Linked DNA regions of Saccharomyces cerevisiae S288C. Changing the gene in region 2 together with the main gene of any one other region gives a genetic interaction. Each region holds a gene or a part of one and is shown on either strand. Other genes may lie near its edges. The genes, in order: VCX1 and GDT1.

Region 1 (3,946 bases), on a different chromosome or scaffold from region 2:
CCACTTAGCGTGTCTGCGGGAACAATAGATCTCTTCCCAATTTGCACTAAATAGGTAACTAGCCAGGCCTATAAAAATCTTCGAGCGGAGAATTGACCGTAGTATCTGCCAAAAAAATCCACCTGCACCAGCATTTTTCGTGTTACGCGAAGTCTACTTTTCGCGTCATCAAAAGACGCTATAAAAATATAGCTGGGCTAATTTTATTCTATAGCTGGCCATTTTTTTATGCGATATCTGCTGGTTTTTTACAGCTGGAATGCCGTGACAGATGTAACAAGAATGTGTTTCAGCTGGCATTCTCACTCAGAAATGTAAGGCTAAAATCCGCTAAAATAGGGCTTCGCGTCTCATGATCTATTCACATTTGTTTCTAATAAACTATACTACAAAACGAAATTCTGTTGTGCAATGATGTAGGAAGCTCCATGAATTTGAGCAAAATTCCTAAATATTCTCGTTGTAATGAATAACGTTACCCTGAACAGTGCAGCAAAGCAGCTGATGTGCTGCAAGAAGAACACGAGCTGTAGTTGAGAAGCTTCGAAATATTAAACCTTTTATCAGAATGGAAATGGTGCAGAATTTGAGTTTCGAAGAGTGTACAAAATATTTTGTTGGTTTTGAAAACTTTTTTTCAGATAAAATTCGATATAAAAATTAGTTGCGTAAACATAATATGTATAATATAACGATCATAATAATGACTTGCTAGTCATAATCATCTTTGTATTGGTCCATCGATAGAATTACGAAGAAGATAAAATATAAAAAAAAAGAGAATGGTGAATTTCTGCGCTACTGTTCTTACTCATAAACTATTTCCAATAGAGTCAAGGGTTTTTTCGTCTGGATAATAGAAAAATGCCATTGCAATCAAAATATACATAGCTAGAGACATGACACCCTCCAACCAGTTTGACTCACCATCGAGAATTAAGTAATTGGATAAGAAAACAGCAATAAAAAGAGTAGCGGTTTCAAAAGTGGAGAAATTTAGCGTCATTGGAACATCGATCATCCAGCCCACAAGAACCATGAATGGTGTAACAAATAAGGCAACTTGTAAAGAGGAACCGATGGCAACACCTAGCGCCAGATCCATCTTATCCTTCATGGCCACCAAGACTGAAGTGACATGCTCTGCGGCATTACCCACAATAGGAATGACAATCAAACCTATAAATGTTTTAGATAGCCCGGTAGATTCAACAACGTTGTCTATCGTACCGACTAGAAAATCCGCACAAAAAGAGATGATCACAGTTGTACCTAGAAGTATCACCAATGATGACTTGACACTCAAAGAGTGATGTGGATTCCTGGAAATGGTGCTCATAACTTCATCGGTCTCTTCTTCTTGTTGCTCAAACAAGGCGTGATGGCTCCCTAGCTGGAAATATAAGAACAAAACGTAAACGATGAGAATAACAATAGAGGTGCCTCTGGATAACTCCAATATTTTTCCATCGATGAAGTGGTCTTCCTTGCCATGAGGTAGGGTGGCTCTAAAGGCAGCGGGAATCAGTAGGGATGCACACGCAATGGCAAGTAATGAGGACATTGTTTGAGCGGCGGTTTGGTTGAATGTCTGTTGGACTCTATTGTATCCACCGAATATGAAGCATAATCCAAGCACTAACAGCAAATTAGAAAGAAGACTACCTAGCATCGAGGCCTGCACAATTCTCACTTGACCTTTTTTCAGGGCAATGATAGAAACAATTAGTTCCACAGCGTTACCAAAAGTAGCATTTAGCAGTCCCCCAATGGTGTTACCAGCCTTATCAGCCAACTCTTCCGTGGCATTAGCCAAGATAGCTGCCAACGGTATAATTGCCAAGAAATTAAAAAGAAATGTCAGTGTATGAGATAGTTGGAAGTGTCCCCAAATCAGACCTAAAGGAACAAATACCAATAGGAAATTCAGGGGTGACGCTTTCAAAATATACTGTAAATCATACACAGCTGCTCTCCATGCAGTGTGCTTTGGATTGCGGGCGGGATGACTGTTCGCAACAGTTAATAGTGGGGTAGTTGCATCCATTGTATCTATGTTGTTTTATTTGCTATCAGCAGCCGATGAATGATATGCGTCGAAGTCAACTATATATTTAGGACTGCTTTTTAAGTTTAGGAAAGAGGAAACTTCTTTTACTCTCTGAGGAGATAAAATAATGCTGGGCGATAGTAATTTCCATATTCTCGTGAGGGAAATTTTTATTTTTCGGGAATTTTGATCAAGCCGTCCAGTCCAGTTTACGAAAAAGGAACTACGTCAATTAGTTTACAAAACATTCCCGATTACGTATGTCATATTCATCGAAGTTCGTAAGTGAGGATGACAAGGGATTAACGTCGTAAGGAAAACAATCTAATTGAAAAAAAAAAACTATTAGATAAGTATATATAACATTAAATTAGAACTTAAATACTACAATATTGTTCTCTTGGCAAAAAACAAGAAGGAAAATAATTGTCCCTCTCCAAACTGATAGCTTCCATTGAGTTCAATAGGAGAAAAAAAAATCCAATTTTTTCACACTTTCGGAAAATTTCCCTTTTAAGTTGTACTAAAATTACAGACAGTTGGAGGCATTAGATTAAAGGTGTATGATAGAGGTTAAAAGTAAACATAAATTCGTAACTGAAGAATTGAAGGAGATATTTCTCTTTGGAGAATTTTAAAAGAGTAAACCAGAAATAAAGAGAATAGAATATTATTAGAGAATAAATGATGTGTTTGGTCCCATGAGAAAGAAAAATTATTGACGTTCAATAATATTTTTTTCTAGCATACTATTTTTTTCGTGATTTAGGTTCTTTTTTCTCCAAATGAAAAACTCTCACATATTCGTTTGTTGCTGGATTGTCACTCCTTCTTCTCATCCTTGGATGCGGTTTATTGTTCTCTACTAATTCCAATGTGTCAATTTTGGTATCTTCCTCAACTTTATCAGTACCCGTTGGGACTTTTTGGGGAGAAAGATTCAAAGACGGCCGGGAAGCAGGAAGAGGAAGTTTTGGAACTTTGGTTTTCCATGAGTTCGGCGATACACCTCCATATCCTCCTTCTAGCCTAGCGCCAGTGGATAATGGTCTTTGCGCTAGTCCTGGCAATGACAGTTTACGCTTTAAAGGTCGTTCAAGAAGTGGTCTCAACTCTGCGGAACTTGCACTTTCGTTGGTTTTTGGGGTCTTGTTTTTTAAAAATTCTACCTCTTTTTTCAACAAGTTTGTCTCAACTGCATACCTTCCCTCTGAGGTGGCCCTTAACTCCGATAGCTGGGCCTGTAACTTCCAGTGAGATGTGGATGCTAAAGACCTGTTAAGCACACTTAATATGAGATCTTTCTCACTAACTAACGTTTCATCATCCCCTTCCTTTATCCTCTGTATGAGATTGAGAATTGTGTTTTCTAGTTCTCTGGTGTTTTTCAAAGATGGCATGAAGTGACTAGTAAAATTGTAGTATTCATTGTCATCAACTTTCTTCGATGAATCTGTAGTAGCGGTATCAGAGTAAGCGGGACTAAATACACTTGTGTTCTCGCTCTTTGCTTCCCTCGTGCCGACCCTCTCATTGGATTCTATGCTCCGTTCACTCTTATTCTTGGCAGGTTCCTCAGGCGTGACAAGATAGGCCTCTGCGCTCCGTCTACTTCTTAGCTCCATAGCCAACAAAATGTTAAATTCCTGTATGCCGTAGCCTTGCCCGCGTTTCGTATCAAAAGGGATGAGAAACTAAAGTGCTCAAATTTTATACGTTTCTAGTGCCTTATAGGTGTATTGCTAAGCCTGTAAGGACCGACGTATGTCCAACTTAGGGAGCTTTACATGTGTCAAAGAACCTTTCATTCCCGATGAGTAAAAATTTTAAAAATGTGCGCGGGAGAAGCTTCGGTCGGCGTCGCCATCAAAGGGCGAGCAACCATGGGTTTATGTA
Region 2 (3,197 bases):
TACAGATGTGTAAATGTACGGATTAAATCGTCGCAGCGGGGAACACCGCTTTCTGAAATTGAAAGTTTCCATACTAGAAGGTCAAGATGCTGTCAATTAGGCTAGGAATGATACAGAAAAGCTGGCTAGCCGTTCCTTCAAAGCCTTCCATTACATCTACTTTTTTACGACTTACTTGTTGCGACTACTTTTTACAACCAGTATGCCCTCTCTGCGAGATTTATCACTAGAAAGGGACCAAGAATTAAATCAGTTACGTGCCCGTATCAACCAGCTGGGCAAAACAGGCAAAGAAGAAGCCAATGATTTTGTTGGTTTAAATATTTCAAATGAACCTGTATATGACACGGTGATTCAAACAGGACAGAGCTCTAACGCAACGAATAGTTTTGTACAAGAAACTATTCAGAAGACGAAACAAAAAGAGAGTGGTCAGCCATATATTATCCCCCAAAAAAACGAACATCAGCGTTACATCGATAAGGTTTGCGAAACCAGCGATCTCAAAGCCAAATTAGCGCCTATTATGGAAGTGCTCGAGAAGAAAACGAATGAAAAAATTAAGGGAATAATAAGGAAAAGGGTATTACAGGAACCCGACCGTGACAATGATGATAGCGGCTGATCGGATAATTACAACCAATTGCGTGCGCAAGACTTCATTGGGTTGGCTGGGAAAGAAAAGCGATGAACTTAGCAAAAAAAAAAGCTACATCAAATAAATATCAGCCGTACACTAGTTACGTATGTCTATAAATATTCTTTTCAAGATTCACACTTAAATATGAAGAGAAAAAAGAGAGAATCCAAGAAGAATACGGTTACAAACCATCTCAATCCTGAGTTGTGAATGCTTGATATATATACATCAAGGCGAAAATGAAGAATAACAACGAGCTAGCAAGAGTGATTGTTCTTATGCTAATTCTTGTTGCCAATAATTTCCCACCCACCACTGCTAATCCAGAGCAAATGGCATGACCAATAACAGCACCTGCAATAACATACCAATAGTCGCTGTCAGTAGCCATGGCAATAATACTAATTTGTGAACGGTCACCTAGCTCGCCTAGGAAAACCATCAGGAAAATTTGAACCCAAACTGGGGAAAACATAAATGATGCTAATTCGCGAATCCTGTGCACTATTTTTTTACCAATCGAAGCGTTCTTCAGCTGTTTATCATACGCAGTGTCGCCTCCTTTTTCAACATCATCCATATCCTGGTTCATGTCTTTAATGGCAATTTCTTCCTCCACTTCAGCCATTTCCTCCTCAACACCTGCATCCTTAGACATCTCCAAACCTTCCATAGTCAATTTGTAACCGAACACTAAGAATAAAATACCTGCAAAAAATGCTGTATAGCGTTCAGAAAGAAAAGCAACGGCTGAATGACCCACCACACCAGAAAGGATGGTCATAATAGCGAGGGAGGTAGCTGCTGCTGAGAACACCAGAACTCTTTTGTGACGCATTGCCATCAAGGCTGCGATCAAGAAGGTTTTGTCACCAATTTCAGAAAGCCCAATCATAGAAACGGACATTAAAAAAGACTTCAAATGTGAAGAACTCCCAGATTCCATAGATGTCTCCGCATCAGTAGCTGCAGCGGCTGCGGCGGTGAACAGCGGTAGGAGGGCTATTAAAGATGCCTTCTTTATCATATTTCCCATTGAATACTCGATGGCCTCGTATTTGTATCTTGCTTTGTAGAACCTAACTTTAGCTTTATATAGACTCCACAAACAAGATTGTAGGACTTTTTGATTCTAAAATAAGGATTTCATAAACGTGTGGTTCACGATACACCTTGATCGTAAAATACATAATAAAAATTTTAAGCATGAAAGCGAGCAACAACAAAACGTTGGAATAGGGTTCGCGAAAGTATGCTACATGAGTATGAGACAAAAGAAAGAAGCGAAAAAAAGGAAAAAGCTCCTCCGTCACTTCCGCGCTGCGCTCAGCTTCCGCGCTGACATAGCTAATGCCAGAACAAACTCATCGTCGTCTACAGGAAATGTCCGGAAGTATTCAGACAGACACATCAAGGGCAATTTCCTTATTGTTCTACCACTGATATCAACGGTCTATATTGATCGCATATTTATGTTTGACAAAGACAGTTAGTGAAAGTGCTTTTTTATGAAGAAGGAAAGAAAGAAAAAGAATCGTAAAAGTAGAATAAAAGAAAAAAACATACCGAGCATTTGATAGCAATTTTCCGCAAAATGTCCTGATATTTATTGAAGAACTTGACTCCAGTTGATCTTGCGTGAAAAAGAATTATACCTGAAGTTATCATCTCCTCTATGCAAACCTTTAGAATGTGGAGGATGCCCTCAGCTGTTGGATTTCCAACATAAAAAACTCCATCTGCTCGATCAACAAAAGCATCATCTAATGAATCTAATAAATTAGACGTGGCTAATGCTAAAAAGTTATGGTATTTTTTCAGCCTGTCAAGTTGCGTAAGTAAAGTGTTCACAACTCGGATTCCATCTGTTGACTCATTTCTACTTGACAAATTTGTTCTTGAACTTGCTATTGCTTCAACCTCATCTATCAAAAGGCATATAAAGATCCCTCGTCCCTCATTGACCTTTAAAAGCTCCTCAATGTCTTTGAATACTATTGATATATTTTTTGACGATTCTCCAAACCATTTAGAAAAGATGCGTGCACAAGACAATTCTATTATTATCCCCTTATAATTAGTATCAATGGTATCGGAACCGTCTGAAAATTCCCGCCTCACAGATAATTTTTGGCAAAGTGCTTTGCATAACGTTGTTTTACCTGTTCCCGGAGGACCATGGACAAGGAGTAATTTATTATTTGTGATTAGCGTTGTAATGTCTTCTTGATTGGAGTCTCCAGTTTGTTTGAATCTTGCTATCTTGAGAGATATAGTTGCGTAGCTATATAACCTTTCTTTAATATTGTTACCAAAATACAACGATTCCCATTGGCCCTCGAAAGTTGTGCCTGGAAGATATGATATATTTACTAAGTTTAGTGTTTGCTTACTTAGTGGAATGTCAAAATTTCCCACCGAATTGATACAATTGTTTAAAGTTTCTCCCTCAAAACCATCATCCTCGTCTAGTTCTAAGTCAATCTTGTCGAACTCTGTGGACAGTATGCTGCCATTTTTCAGCTCATCTTGCTCTTCCAGACAGCAAAAGGGATAT

What was found.
Region 1: mutations in GDT1 (region 2) and VCX1 impair growth when combined (synthetic growth defect), as found in Saccharomyces cerevisiae (one study listed by BioGRID).

The regions. Positions count from the first base shown.
Region 1 is NC_001136.10:230,753-234,698, reverse strand, and holds VCX1 (Vcx1p), read right to left. Parts: upstream 2,048-3,946; coding exon 812-2,047; downstream 1-811. Other genes in the region: YDL129W (uncharacterized protein), read right to left, coding at 2,800-3,675.
Region 2 is NC_001134.8:601,113-604,309, reverse strand, and holds GDT1 (putative ribosome biosynthesis protein GDT1), read right to left. Parts: upstream 1,677-3,197; coding exon 834-1,676; downstream 1-833. Other genes in the region: NTC20 (Ntc20p), read left to right, coding at 203-625; PCH2 (Pch2p), read right to left, coding at 1,950-2,093, 2,207-3,197. UniProt on the Saccharomyces cerevisiae protein: Divalent cation:proton antiporter that exchanges calcium or manganese ions for protons across the Golgi membrane.